2 linked regions of the Anolis sagrei genome follow. The protein of the gene in region 2 interacts with the protein of the main gene of each other region in a biochemical or structural test. Links are inferred from orthologs where the notes say so. Each region holds a gene or a part of one and is shown on either strand. Other genes may lie near its edges. The genes, in order: homeobox protein SIX1-like and EYA2.

Evidence for each region.
Region 1: the proteins of EYA2 (region 2) and homeobox protein SIX1-like form a complex in vitro, tested with the Homo sapiens proteins (2 studies listed by IntAct, with this or other methods). The link is inferred for Anolis sagrei from reciprocal best matches to the Homo sapiens genes EYA2 and SIX1.

Annotation. Positions count from the first base shown.
Region 1 is NC_090021.1:332,794,258-332,802,077, reverse strand, and holds the start of homeobox protein SIX1-like, read right to left. Parts: upstream 3,164-7,820; 5' UTR 1,353-3,163; coding exon 793-1,352; intron 1-792. UniProt on the Homo sapiens protein: Transcription factor that is involved in the regulation of cell proliferation, apoptosis and embryonic development. Plays an important role in the development of several organs, including kidney, muscle and inner ear.
Region 2 is NC_090024.1:219,245,448-219,253,415, reverse strand, and holds the start of EYA2 (eyes absent homolog 2), read right to left. Parts: upstream 3,402-7,968; 5' UTR 3,354-3,401; coding exon 3,340-3,353; intron 1-3,339. UniProt on the Homo sapiens protein: Functions both as protein phosphatase and as transcriptional coactivator for SIX1, and probably also for SIX2, SIX4 and SIX5.

The sequences.
Region 1 (7,820 bases), on a different chromosome or scaffold from region 2:
AAGTAAGCTGGAGCTTGGGGAACTTTGAGCTTGGGGAAGTAGGCTGGATCTTGGGGAGCTTGGAGAAATAAGCTGGAGCTTGGGGAACTTGGAGCTTGGGGAAGTAGGCTGAAGCTTGGGGGACTTGGAGCTTGGATAAATAGGCTGGAGTTTGGGGAGCTTGGAGCTTGGGGAAATAGCCTGGAGCTTCAAAGGCTTGGAGTTTGGAGAACTATGCTGGAGCTTAGGGAGCTTGGAGAAGTAAGCTGGAGCTTGGGGAACTTGGAGCTTGGGGAATTAGGCTGGATCTTGGGGAGCTTGGAGCTTGGGGAGTAAGCTGGAGCTTGGGGAAATAGTCTGGAGCTTCAAAAGTTTGGAGTTTGGAGAACTATGCTGGAGCTTAGGGAGCTTGGAGAAGTAAGCTGGAGCTTGGGGAATTTGGAGCTTGGGGAATTAGGCTGGATCTTGGGGAGCTTGGAGCTTGGGGAAATAAGCTGAAGCTTGGGGAACTTGGAGCTTGCGGAAATAGGCTGGAGCTTGGGGAGCCCTGAGCTTGGGGAGCAAACTGGAGCTTGGGGAAATAGTCTGGAGTTTCAAAAGCTTGGAGTTTGGAGAAGTACGCTGGAGCTTAGGGAGCTTGGAGCTCGAGGAAGGAGGCTGGAACTTGGAGAAGGGACCTTGGGGGACCACAAGGTCCAGAATCCCCCCAAACAGCTTCGCGGTCTGGAGAGGATTCTGGGCCTCGTGGTCCCCCAAGGTCCCTTCCCCAAGCTGACCTCCTTGCAGAAAGAGTGACTGATGTGTGGCACCCACCTCTCCTTGGCCTCCGCGGCCCGGTCGCGCTGCCGCCGGTTCTTGAACCAGTTGCTGACCTGGGTGGTGGTCAGGCCGGTGGCCTCGGCCAGCTCTCGCTTCTCTCGGGGCGAAGGGTAGGGGTTGTGGGCGTACCACTCGCGCAGGACCCCGCGGGACTTCTCCTTGAAGCAGTAGCTGGTCTCCTCGCCGTCCCAGATGGTTCGCGGGAGCGGAAACTTCCTCCGGACGCGGTACTTGCCCACGGCGCCCAGCGGCCTCCCGCGCAGCTTCTCGGCCTCCACGTAGTGCGCCTTGAGCCAGAGCTGCTGGAGCTTGGGGTGGTTGTGGGCCGAGAACTGGTGGCTCTCCAGGATCTTGTAGAGCTCTCGGAAGTTGCCCCGGTGGAAGGCCACCACGGCCTTGGCCTTGAGGACGCTCTCGTTCTTGTGCAGGTGGTCGCAGGCCGGGAGCGACCAGAGGAAGCGGCCCAGGCGCTCCAGGTTGCCGCCTTGCTGCAGCACCTCGCAGACGCAGGCCACTTGCTCCTGGGTGAAGCCGAAGGAGGGCAGCAGGGACATGGCCCCCGGGAAGGAAGAGGAAGAGGAGGAAGAGGAAGAGGGACTGGACGGGAGGAAGGCCTCGCCAAGCCGAGCAAGGGGTCCCAGCTCAGCCCTGCGCGCTCCTCCTCGAGTCTTCTTCTCTCCCCCAAAACCACCTTGGAAAGGGACACCCCGAGAAACAAGAGTCCCAAGTCTTCTTCAGAGGAGAAAAGGATCAGTTTGGAAAGGGATCTTTCCTAGACTCAGCTTTCCAGGGCTTTCTTCCAAGGAGAAAATTGAGTTTGGGGAGTCCCAAGCGCGAGCTGTGCGCTCTCCTTGGGCACCTCTCTTTCCAAAGTCCGAGCCCCAAATGCCGGGCTGTGCGCTCTCCTTGGGATCAGTTTGGAAAGCGCCTTTGGGAAAGCGGTTTCCCAAGGTTTCTTCCACACAGAAAGCAGCTTCCCAAGGCTTCTTTCCAAGGGGAAATATACGCTCGGGAAGGCGAAAGTCCCACGATGAAGCCGAGCTCAAGTTCGGAGCGCGAAGCTGCCCTCATGCGCTCTCCTCGCGGGTGTTTCCTTCCCAAAGACCGGGTTGGGAAGGGGTCTGGCGGCACCCTCGGAGATCTGGAGACAGCCGTTTTCCGGAGGTTAGTTACAGGAAAAGGTCTGGAATCTCTGGAAGTACTTGGCGGCTTCTCCAGACTTCTTCAGAGCAGAAAGATCCGTTCAGAAAGGCGAAAGTTCCCCACGCCGGGCTGGAGTGAATGAAGCTCTCAACTCGGGGACTCGGATTCCTTCCCGAAAAGGATTTTGTGGCACCCGTGGAGGCGAAGGGAAGGCGCTTCCCAAGGCTTCTTCTTCACAGGAGAAAGAAAGGCCAGTTTGGAAAGAGGAGAAAAGCCAGTTCAGACAGAAAGAGAAATGTAAAGCAGCCTCCAAACCCGGGTTGCTGTCGCGCTCTCTCCCGGCGGAGGTTTCCCTTTGCAAGGGCCAGTTTCCAAAGAGGTCTCGCAACTCTCTTCTAGTTTCAGAGAGGGCAGCTTAGTTCCCAAGGCTTCCTCCGAGGAGAAAGACCCTCTTGGAGAGGAGAAAGGGCCAAGATGAAGCCCAGAATCCAGGGCTGGGGCTGGGCGCTCTCCTCGGAGATGTTCCCTCTCCAAAGAGCGAGAAGAAGGAGCTTCCCAAGGCTGGAGAAAGACCAGTTTGGAGAAGGGATCTTGGAGACCGAGAGAAAGAAAATTCCCAAGGCTGTTTCTTCAGAGGAGAAGGGATCTTGGAGACCGAGAGAAAGCAGCCTCCAAAGACTGCTTCTACAGAGGAGAAGGGATTTTGGAGACGGAGAGAAAGCAGCTTCCAAAGACTGCTTCTTCAGAGGAGAAGGGATCTTGGAGACCGAGAGAAAGAAGATTCCCAAGGCTGCTTCTTCAGACGAGAAGGGATCTTGGAGACCGAGGGAAAGCAGCTTCCAAAGACTGCTTCTTCAGAGGAGAAGGGATCTTGGAGACCGAGAGAAAGAAGATTCCCAAGGCTGCTTCTTCAGAGGAGAAGGGACTTTGGAGACCGACAAAAAGTAGCCTTCTCCTCCTTCTCCTTCTCTCTCTCTTTCTCTTCCTTCCTCTTCTCTTTCTCCTTCTCTCTCTCCTTCTCCTCCTTCCTCTTCTCCTTCTCCTTCCCTTTCTCCTTCTCCTCCTTCTTCGGGGGGGAAGAGTGTGCCCCCGAGCGAAGGGCCAACAAGGAGAGGTCTTCTCTTCCGACAGCAGCAGCCGCCAGGAAAAGAGATGCCGCCGGAGAGGTCCCTTCTTCTACCGGAGGAAACTTTTATGTTTTTTGTAGGTTGCTGGTCTTGCCAGAGCCGGGCTTAAAGGCGCCCCCACCCTCCCCCTGGTTCCCCGCCTCAGGGCGCTCGCTGATTGGCTGCCGCCGGCGCCTATAGGGAGGAGGAGGGCCAGGCGCTCCAGGGCCGGACAGACAGAAAGCCAAGCCAAGCAGCCCCAGCCAAAGCCAGGCAGGCGAGGAGGGCGCAGGCGCAGAAGGAGGCAGGCAGACAGGCAGCAGACTGGCTGGGCAGTGGTCAGGGACGAAGCTGTGGCTTGGGGTGAGGAAGGAAAGGAAAGAAGGCGAGAAGGAGAGCTTGGCAACGTCACCTTTTGGAACAACAACTCCCACAATCCCCTCTCGCCAGCTAAGCTTTTGGGGCAACTCCCACAATCCGACAGATACACAGCAACTCCCACAATCCGACAGATACACAAATCCCTCTTAGAGTGTGTTGTTGAAACTTTTGGGGGCTGTATGGCCACGTTCCAGAAGCATTATCTCCTGACATTTCGCCTGCATCTATGACAGGCATTCTCACAACGTCTGACGATGCCTGCCATAGATGCAGGTGAAAGGTCAGGAGAGAATGCTTCTGGAACGCGGCTATACAGCCGGAAAAACTTACAACATCTTAACACCTCTCAACAAAAGATTTTCCCAGGCTCAGCCAGGCCTTCAAATGCTAATGAAGGTGGTCACTTGAAACATTCACACCTAGCTCCAGCAGAGAAGAGCTCTTTGCCCCACCCCAGCCATTCCACAGATATATAAACCCATTGTCCTAATTCCAACAGACCTCACTACCTCTGAGGATGCCTGCCATAGATGCAGGTGAAAGGTCAGGAGAGAATGCTTCTGGAACGCGGCTATACAGCCGGAAAAACTTATAACATCTTAACACTTCTCAACAAAAGATTTTCCCAGGCTCAGCCAGGCCTTCAAATGCTAATGAAGGCGGTCAGTTGAAACATTCTCACCTAGCTCCAGCAGAGAAGAGCTCTTTGCCCCACCCCAGCCATTCCACAGATATATAAACCCATTGTCCTAGTTCCAACAGACCTCACTACCTCTGAGGATGCTTGCCATAGATGCAGGCGAAACGTCAGGAGAAATGCCTCTAGAGCATGGCCCTATAGCCCGAAAAAACCCACAAGAACCTAGTGATTCCAGCCATGAAAGCCTTCGACAATAAACTTACAACAACCCAGTGAAAGCCCTCGACAAAGCTCTTAGAATTTCCCCCAGTTTTTGGGATGACCACTCCCAGAATCCCACCAATTCCCCTAAATTGAGGACAACTCCCACAAATATATTCCAGTCAGTTAAGGCTTTGGGATGACCACAAGTGAAGAGAGAAATTGACAAGCTGGAATGTGTCCAAAGGAGGGCGACTAAAATGATCAAGGGTATGGAGAACAAGCCCTATGAGGAGCGGCTTAAAGAGCTGGTCATGTTTAGCCTGAAGAAGAGAAGGCTGAGAGGAGGCATGATAGCCATGTATAAATATGTGAGAGGAAAGCATAGGGAGGAGGGGAAAAGCTTGTTTTCTGCTGCCCTGGAGACTAGGACGCAATGGAGCAATTGTTTCAAACTACAAGAAAGGAGATTCTATCTGAACATTAGGAAGAACTTCCTGACTGTGAGAGCTGTTCAGCAGTGGAACTCCCTGCCCTGGAGTGTGGTGGAGGCTCCTTCTTTGGAGGTTTTCAAACAGAGGCTAAATGGCAATCTGTCAGGGGTGCTTTGAATGCAATTTTCCTGCTTCTTGGCAGGGGGTTGGACTGGATGGCCCATGAGGTCTCTGCCAACTCTATGATTCTATTCTATGACCATTCCAAAAATATCTGTCAGAGGGGATTCTGTGAGGTGTCTCTTCAAAAAGCCAGCTTCCCAAGCTCTGTTTTGGATGGTCGAAGGAGTGTTTGTCCCCAAAGGCCACTCTTCTAAACTCAGAGCTCATTGTTTGGGGGATTGTGAGAGCTGTCTGTCCAAAAAAAGCCACTTCCCCCACTTGTGACAATGTCTTTCTCTCTGCCTATCTCTCTCCATCACTGATAAAAAGTAAAGGTAGTCCCCTGACATTAAGTCCAGTCATGTCTGACTCTGGGGTGTGGTGCTCATCTCCATTTCTAAGCCGAAGAGCCAGCGTTGTCCATAGACACCTCCAAGGTCATGTGGCCGGCATGACTGCATGGAGCACCGTTACCTTCCCGCCGGAGCGGTACCTATTGATCTACTCACATTTGCATGTTTTCGAACTGCTAGGTTGGCAGAAGCTAGAGCTAGAAGCTAGAAGCTAGGGCAGAAGCTAGGCCATCACTGATAGCAAACACAACAATCAATTTTTCAGAAAGGCACAGCAGGAAATTACCCTGGAACATCAGTGACCACACTGCAGGTGCATCTGCACTGTAGAATTGATGCATTTTGACCCCACTTTAACTTTGATAGCTCCATGCTACAGAATCATGGGAGTTATAGTTTGATGAGGCCCAGGCACTCTGGCAGAAAAGGCTACAGGCCTGATGGAACAGGCATGGGCCAACTTGGGCTCTCCAGGTGTTTGGGACTCCAACTCCCACAATTCCCAACAGCCTGAGGCCCTTTCCTTTCCCCTCTCAGCCGCTTAAGCGGCTGAGGGGGGAAAGGAAAGGGCCTGAGGCTGTTGGGAATTGTGGGAGTTGGAGTCCAAACACCTGGAGAGCCCAAGTAGGCCCCTGTCTTAGAACTTCTTCTCCCAGGATTGCACAGAATGGAGCTATGACTCTTCAAGTGGTGTCAAACTGCATCCATTCTCCAGTGGAGATGCCCCCCTTGGCTCCCTCTTCTCTCTCTCCATCTCCTTCCTTTTTCAGACCTGTTTGCTCCTGGTGAGCTCATATTTCATTACCTTAATGCTGGGGATGAATAAATCATGGCCCAGATGAATAGTCTGCCTGGCGATATAATTAAAGGGGCATATTTAACTCGGGCCTGAAGGGGATCAAGAGTGTGGTTACCTCCCCTGTCTCCTTTATTTATTATCATCTGGAAACCTAGCCTGGTTTGGGTCTGGCCTGGTTAAGAACCTGGATGGATGACCACCAGGGAATAGCAGAAATGGCTTTCTAAATGCAAGGGAGGTTGTGTTCATTCAATATGGCCAACTCAAAGGTCCTTGCAGTGGGAGGGCTAATGACTTTTCCTATCCATTACCATTAAAAACATCTTTAAACATGAGGACTCTTAGGGCACTTCCAGACAGGCCCTATATCCCAGGATCTGATACCAGGTTTTCTGTTTAACTGGATTATATCAGTCTGCACTGCCAGATAATCTGGGATAAACAGAAAACCTGGGATTAGATCCTGGGGTATAGGGTCTGTCTGGAAGGGCCTTAGAAGCAGAATGTGTGCCTGGAAGTGTCCTCTAGGCCTCTAATATCCTTCATTTCAATGCATAACATAGATTGCAAGCAGCCATTATTTATTATTCCCCAAGAAGCTCCAGAATAAGGCTGTCCCTACACACACACACACACACACACACACACACACACACACTAGCTGTACTTGCCACACTTTGCTATGACCAACCTTCCCTCCCTCTTTCTCTTCTTTCTTTCTCTCCTTCCTTCCCTCCTTCCTTCCTTCCCTTTCTTTCTTTCTTTCTTTCTTTCTTTCTCTCCTTCCTTCCTTCCTTCTCTCCCTCCTTCCTTCCCTTTCTTTCTTTCTCTCCTTCCTTCCTTCCTTCCTTCCTTCCTTCCTTCTCTCCCTCCCTCCTTCCTTCCTTCCTTCCTTCCTTCCTTCCTTCCTTCCTTCCTTCCTTCCGTCCCTCCTTCCTTCCTTCCCTTTCTTTCTTTCTTTCTTTCTTTCTCTCCTTCCTTCCTTCCCTCCTTCCCTCCTTCCCTCCTTCCCTCCCTCCCTCCTTCCTTCCTTCCTTCCTTCCTTCCTTCCTTCCTTCCTCCCTCCCTTCATTCCTTCCTTCCCTTTCTTTCTCTCCTTCCTTCCTTCCTTCCTTCCTTCCTTCCTTCCTTCCTTCCTTCCCTTTCTTTCTTTCTTTCTCTCCTTCCTTCCTTCCTTCCTTCCTTCCTTCCCTTTCTTTCTTTCTTTCTTTCTTTCTCTCCTTCCTTCCTTCCTTCCTTCCTTCCTTCCCTTTCTTTCTTTCTTTCTTTCTTTCTTTCTTTCTTTCTCTCCTTCCTTCTCTTCTTCTTCCCTTCATTCCCCATCTTTTTTCCCCTTCCTCTTTCTCCGTTTTTTTTCCTTCTCTACCTATTTTTGGACTACAACTCCCAGCAGTACTCCTAATCAATCAATCTACCTACCTCTATCCAATCTATCTATCTAGAGGATTGCTGGGAGTTGCATTCCAGGAATAGGAAATTGGAAATATGCAGGAATTGGGCTGCTCTCAAAGAAATCCAAGGAGAAGAAACCTTGCATCCTGGAGGCAGTGTATTTGGATCATCCTCTCCTAAAAGGCCTGGTGTAGGGGATGCTGGAAGCTGTAGTCCGGAAGACAGTGTGGATATGCTATTGTGTGTTTTGTTTGCCAGGGGGAGTCATTTTTGCACATGCACTGTAGCATCTTTTTGTTTTTTGTTTTTTGCTTTTAAAGTCACTTCATCTGTGTTTTTTGGTATGTTTATGAGTGGTGGCCTGATAGGGGTGTAGTGTCCAAATTTGGTGTCCATTCGTCCAGTGGTTTT
Region 2 (7,968 bases):
GCCAGTGTGTCCAATGTGGAATACATCTCACTACACTAAAACAGTAGATGCGGCTCTTAATGAAACATGCCGCATTATCACAGGATATCTACACCCTACACCATTGGAGAAATTATACTGTGTAGCCAGTATTGCACCACCTGACATTCGCCAGGAAGTAGCAGTTAATAATGAAAGGACCAAGGCAGCGACATTTCTGGCCCATCCCCTGTTCAGATATCAGCCAGCATGCCAACACCTTTAATCAAGAAATAGTTTTCTAAGATCTACAGAGATACTCACAGGAACACCTCAGAAAGCAAGAGTCCAAAAGTGGCAGGCTAAAACCCATGCCATGGCTAATTCCGAATGAGAGACTCTCCCCTGGGTACACAGAAGACCTGGTGACTTGGAAGGTGCTAAACAGATTGCACTCTAGGACCATGAAATGCAGAGCCAACCTTAAAAAATGGGGCTACAAAGTGGAGTTCACAACATGTGAGTACAGAGAAGATCAAACCACAAACTACCTATTACAATACAGTCTGAGCCCTGCCACATGCACAATGGAGGACCTTCTTATAGCAACACCGGGGGCACTCCAAGTGGCCAGCTACTGGTCAAAGGACATTGAGTATAATGCCAAGTTTTTAAACTGTGTTTTTAAAAATACATTACAACTATACATTGGGTTCACTTCTGATACCATAAATAAAACAACCAAATGGTGCCTCAGGAGAAAATATTTACAGAATCTATGTTTTCCCTATGTTAGTCAGCCCTATGTCTTCGAAATATCTCTACTCAACATGCGATTGGACAAGCACTGAGACATTCATGTCTTCTGGCTATTCTAGAACCTCAAAAGAAACCATGCTAACATATATAAACATGTATAGATGAAATTTTGTTCTGATTCAGTAATCCAAGATCCATTCATCCATACATCTGTTTTGTCCTTCTCTGTATCCGAAGGGTTGGTGACAACTGGAAGTGACATTTCTGCCAATTGGAAATTAATTCCTGTCATTTTGGAATTGGGCTGAGGATGAAAATAGGACAAGACTAACTCTGTAGAAATCAACTCTTTCTCAACAAGCGGAATCTTGATGTATCCAAAGAGACCAAGGCCACAAAGAGATGGATCCCCTATCAGCCGAATATAAAACAATCTGCTTACGCAGTGTCCCTTGATTTCCACATAGGGCCCTTCTCCACTAATGAATGCACATGGCCTGCAGGTTATTACGATTCCTATTCTAATGTGGAGAGGAAAGTGGAGAAGAAAGAGGTTGAGAGAGAGGGTGGGAATGAAATCATGAAATGAAACTAGATGTGTTGTTTTCAGCTCTCATCTACCTTTTAACAGGTCCTGGAAATGAAAACTTGCCCCTTAGACTGGATGGCGTTGCCCACCCTGATCTTTAAAAAAACCCACAGTGCTCAAGGGTAGAAATACGTCCCCACATTACAGCACACAAATCACTCCACAACAGCTGAAGAGATATTTTAGGATGTTTGCTATACTAGATAATTGCATGCCAATGGGTTCTGCTATAGCGGAAGACAAGCTGAATTAGGTAACATTTATACAAATATTTTTTAAAGGTATAATATTTAATAACTGCAAACTCCACCTTCAGTTAAATGTGTAATGGCCCATTTCCTTCCCTACTTTATGCCACATTAATGTTATTAAATTTAGCACAGCTGGCTGATGACATTTTACTGTGTGAGATGAAGGACAAGATTGTGCCTATCCAAACTGGAAAAGCCCACTGAAAAATTGTCAAAAACATGTTTTTGAGTGATGAAAAACCTTAATGAGAAGAATCCTGGACTAATGAGAATCTTTACAATTGGGGACTCATTCTACATAAAATTCACACATAGTTGATTTGTACATACTGTAAAACATTTTCTGTGCAGAAAATATTATTCATTATATATTTATGGGCAAAACAGCCACACACAAGTTTTTTCACAGAAGTTTTGAATCTTGAGTAAATGTCAAAAACTGCATGGTTTTCAAAGACCTTCTCATAGGAGGAAAAATTACCAAGATTACCCGTTGTTTTTGTCAAGAAGAACATGAATGAAGAATTTTCTACTGAGATGGAATGACCTCCTCCACCAAACCTGGCACATTTAGGAGGTCACAAGGCAAGCTGCTTAGTGCTCAGCTCTCTCTTTTGGTGCTGTCTTTGCTATCTTAAGTGATCATCTCTTTGCCTACTGGAAGGGGGAGCTCCGCAATTTAGGCTGGGAAGGTTTTCTTTTTCAGAACCTGAGGGTAGTTTGAAAAAGACATCTCTTCGTAATGTGTAGATCTGTCACATTTTCCCCTCTGCTAAAGCAAGTTGCAGGGTTATGTTTCAAAAGCCTATCCAAAGATAGCAATTTATTTTATTTTGTTTGTAATCCACTCTTCCCTGACAAGCAATTCAAGGTTGCTCACAACGTAAGTTAAAACAAAATGATGATGTTGATGATGATTAACAACAACAACAACAGCAACAACTTTATTTGTAACCTGCTCTATCTTCTCAAGGGGACTCAGGGCGGTTTCCAGAACACAAGTGGCAAACATTCAATACCATAATGAACAACAGGACAAATCAAAAGAAGAGATAAATAACATCAATATAAATTTAATGGAATATAAATTCCAATGAAAACAGTACAATAAATGAGAGATTTTTCTAGGGACACAGCAATACCACAAACACAATATAAGTAGGAGATAGTACTCTTCGATGCATTGAAGCTTCTGATTATCCAGAATCTTCTTGAATACATTAATTGCTTTTTGACTCCAAAAGCTGAAAACACAGATGAATCTGCCTATTGATTATGGTCACACATTAATTAGGCCAATATCAGGCAGTGCTTTTAACATCTAGATTGTAAAATAAATGCAAGCTAATCCAAATTCCATATATGAATTTGGAACAATTCCTTCTGTTTATGCAACGTTCTTTGTCACTGATGAAAGGTGACCATAGCATTTCAAATAAGGAACAGATTTATTTTACCACAGAAATTTTGAAGGGAAAGGAAGCCAAGCTAAGCATTTTAAAAACCTCATATTCACAGTCTTACATATACAATAGCTTATATACTGCATTTCTTTGCAAAAATATCTCAAACTTTGTGTGCCAAAATGCCAACTCTTAAGTCTTCAGTTCCAAAATACTATGTTTCATGCTTCACTCAATAGACCAATCATGCAATTCACCAGTTTTTGATGCCGCTGTGACTCTTACTATGCTAGGGACTATGCTTAACAAAAAAGGCAAATCAGGGTTAGTGAGTTCCTGGCTCTTCAGAGGCCATGGACTTCAATCCCAGCAGACTTACCTAGTATGATTCATGGCAGTGGATTATGGACATTGTTCCATGATATCTAGAGAGTCAAAGATCATCCAAGACTTCTGCAGAAGCGGAAATACCCCCAGGCTGTCCTATGTGCACTTCCTTAGAAAGCCCAAGTGAACTCAGAGGAACTTAACCTCGCAATATTCATGAGATTATAATAAAGGTCTGCTTAATCATCTTGCATGTCAACACGTATTAAGGAAATAGGAAATCAGAGGCATAATAATGTTCGTACTTTTCTCCTTTTGGCACGGTTTGTTTGCAATCACTTAGCCAACAAACCTCATCCAATCTTCTTATCCCTCCCTCCACAAAAATGGCAAGAATCACACAGTATATGTATTTGTTTCTTTCTTCTAAACAATTGCAGCAATTTACCAGAAATGCTCCAGCAAGATTATTTGGAGAATGCCCTTTTAAGCAGGCCGCAAAGCAGCATAAAAAGAAACATGTTTTTGTTTTACAAAAATGTTCCAGTTCAATATGGGTTTTTTCCTCCTGAATTCACTAAATTCCTCTTCCACAAAAACAAAAACACCACCAAATGGGAGATTCCTTTACGAATGAATAATGCTTAACCGCAAGCTAAACATGAGTCAGCAATGCAATGTGGCAGCTAAAATGGCAAACTCAATTCTGAGTTGCACAAACAGGAATATAATGTCCACAAGAATTAATGTCACAATTCAATTCTGTTTTGATCAAGCCTACGTTTGGGTACTGCGTCCAGTTCAGGTTAAGACAAAAATTGACTGAAGGATGACAAAGGGTCTGAAAAATGTGTTTCCTTAGGAGTTGGTTATGTGGAACAGAGATTAATGCCAGGTTATGTTATAGTTATGTTCTGACATTTCAAAGGTTGTCACTAAGATAATGGTGCAAACTTGTTCTTTGTTGATCTACAGCAGTGTGTCCCAACTCTGGTCTTCCAGATGTTTTGGACTTCAGTTCCTAGAATTCCTGACAGTTGGCCAAGCTGACTGGGTCTTCTGGGAATTGAAGTCCAAAACTGCCAGAGAACTAATGTTTGGAAAATACTGATCTACACAAAGGGTAGGCATATGCTGATTATCATTTTCACTCCTCTTATGCCAGGTGATAACCAGAAATGATGTTTCAGGTGGCCAGAGGTTTCTCTTATTTAGGGGTTTTTTTGTTTTGTTTTTGTTTTGTTTTTTGCATTACTTGACTGATTTAGGGTTCAGAATGCTAAACTGAAATTGCTGAGACCCAGCTTCAAATTAACAGTCAGGCATTAAGCTATCTGAGGGCTTTTCCAGACAGGCCCTAGCCCTACACTCCAGGATCTGATCCCAGGTGTTCTGCTTAAAACTGGATTATATGAGTCCCCACTGTCAGATAATCTGGGATAAGCAGAAAGCCTGGGATCAGATCCTAGGATATAATGACAGTGTAGGGCCTTTCACACATCTTAACAAAAACCTACATTATCCGCTTTGAACTGGAATATATGGCAGTGTGGACTCAGTTAACCCAATTAGAAGCAGATATTGTGGGATTTGGGGCCTTGATATTCTGGGTCAAGCCTTTGAACAATAGATGGAATAACAGGAAAGGAAATGTTTTAGTGACTGCAATGGATTGACCTGGACTATGATTTGAACCGGTGAACTGTTTTTAAATTGAATGTTTTATAATTGTTTTTTAAATTGTGTTTAATTGTGTCTGTGATTTCTAATGTACTGTGTTGGCACCTGATGGTTGCCTATTGTAAGCTGTCCCGAGTCCCTCTTCAGAGGTGAGAAGGACAGGATATAAATGCCCGAAATAAATAAATAAATAGTTGTGTGGAAGGGCCATAGAAGAGCCCTGGGAGACTTAGGCCAATCACTCTTGCTCAGCTTAATCTAACTTCTTTGTATGGTTCTCGGCTCTTTTATATAATCATGGCTGATTCACATTGAGCTCCAACCCATGTATTGTCTGTTCTCTTTTCCAATTGCAAATCCCCAAGGGCCCTTCCACACAGCCCTATATCCCAGAACATCAAGGCATGAAATCCCACATGATCTAAGTGTGGACTCAGATAAAACGGGACCCTTCCATACAGCCCTATATCCCAGAATATTAAAGTAGAAAATTCCACATTATCTGAGTGTGGACTCAGATATCCCAGTTCAATGCAGATATTGTGACATTTTCTGCCTTGATGTTCTGGGATATAGGGCTGTGTGGAAGGGCCCTCAGTCTGGGTGTACTTTTGATGTAGGGCTTTTCTACACAGCCATATAACCCATAATATCAAGACTGATAATCTACAATATCTGTTTTGAACTAGATTATCCGAATCCACACTGCTATATAATCCAGTTCAATGTGTGGAAGGGGCCTAAGTTTCCAACTAAATACAGGTTCAAGAAAGAGAAATCAAAATCTTATTGATAAAACACATTTACCACATAGTGAAGGGGTCCTCAAACTTTTTAAACAGAGGGCCAGGTCACAGTCCCTCAAACTGTTTGAGGGCCGGATTATAATTTGAAAAAAAATAATGAATGAATTCCTATGCACACTGCACATATTTTATTTGTAATGCAAAAAACACTTAAAAACAATACAATAATTAAAATGAAGAACAATTTTAACAAATAATAATGTATTAGTATTTCAATGGGAAGTGTGGGCCTGCTTTTGGCTGATGAGATAGTATTGTTATTATGTGCTTTCAAGTCATTTCAGACTTAGGTTGACCCTGAGCGAGGGCCGGTAAATGACCTTGGAGAGCCACATCCGGCCCTCGGGCCTTAGTTTGAGGACCCCTGACATAGTGTGACTTGGGATACATCTACATTGTAGAATTAATGGAGGTTAACACTATTTAACTACCATGGCTCAATGTTAGGGACTAATGGGAATTGTAGTTTTATAATGTCTATAACCTTCTCTGGTAAACAGTGAGCTGATACCTCACCAATCTAAAGATCCCTGGATTTCATAGCATTGAGCTATGGTGGTTAAAGTGGTATCAAACTGCATTAATGCTATATTGTAGATGCACCTAGATCTGATATACAACCCCTAGAAGCTGTTTAGTTATGATGATTTTTCTTTCACCCCTCTTCTTGGCATTGCTCCCAAACCAACCTGTAACTCGAGTTAATGCTTATTTTGCAAAGCTGACAATTTTTCAAAAGCTGCAAAATGATTTTTTTTCCCAAGGTGACTCTGCGGGCACAGTTCCACAGACTGTTTATACTCCTGAGTACTAACTGTCTACTGCTGACATGACCAAACTTTTAAAGCCCCATCAGATTTTTGGATTTGATAACTCCTTTGTTAATGCTGTGCACACAGGCCTCAGGGAAAGCAGATAGATTCCAATTCTCTCAAGCCTTGAGTAAGCCAAATCCCACAACATCATAAGAAGGAAAAAGAGGGAGGGGGGGGGGGGAGAATAAGAAAAAAATAATCTTTCAAAACATGGAATTGTAATCATAGCAGTAAAATTAGGGAATAAACAAGAAGTGTCAGTTTTGTTTTAATAGAATGACTTTTTGCTGTTTTATGTTCCAGAGTAAAATTGTCTGTTCCAAAGGAGCACCAAGAAAAGGTTGTGTGAATTTTAACAGACAAGGAAACAAGACAGAAGGCAAGACAAGGAGACAGCCTGCCAAAAAGAAGACTGGAATTTTAAAGCTACAGAAGAAATTAGTTTCACTTCTTTCTTCTAAAGCAGCGTTTCTCAACCTGGGGGTCAGGACCCCTAAGGGGGTTGTGAGGAGGCTGTCAGAGGGGTTGCCAAAGACCACCAGAAAACACATATTTCTGATGGTCTTAGAAACCCCTTTGGCAGAGAAGGCTGAAGGTCTCTCGCCTGTCCTTCTCTTCCTTTTTGGAAACAGACAGTGAATCCTCCCACCAAAAGCCCTCTTCCTGTGGTGATTAGCCAGCCACTCAGCTGGCTTCTCAGCTAAGGGGAGGGCTGTTTCTGAGACTCCAAGCAGGGAGGGGAGAGCAGGCATGGTCGGCGCATGGCAGCGTGGTGTGCATGTGCGGGCAAGGTAGAGCATGAAAGGCTGGAGTGAGGTTCATGCCATCAAGTCCCGTCATGGCAGGGAGGAAAAACCCCGTGCGACATGGGACTGAGAGTGGCCTAGTACTCATGCCAAGTCTGATCCAGACACATTGACCTTGAGTTTTGGAGTTATAGTTCACCTACATCCAGAGAGCACTATGGACTCATCTGAGTGCACAGTACACTCTAGATGTAGGTGAACTACTCCAAAACTCAAGGTCAGTGCCCACCAAACCCTTCCAGTATGTTCTGTTGGTCATGGGAGTTCTGTGTGTCAAGTTTGGTTCAGTTCAATCCAATTGTTGGTGGATTTCAAAATGTTCTTTGATTGTAGATTAATTATAAATCCCAGAAACTACAACTTCCAAATGACAAAATCACCAGTATTCAAATTTGGGCAAATCAAGTGTTTGTGCTAGATTTGGTCCAGGGAATGAAAATGCATCTTGCATATCTGATATTTACATTACGATTCATAACAGTAGAAAAATTACAGTTATGAAGTAGCAACAAAAATAATTTTATAGTTGGGGGTCACCACAACATGAGGAATTGTATTAAGGGGTCATGGCATG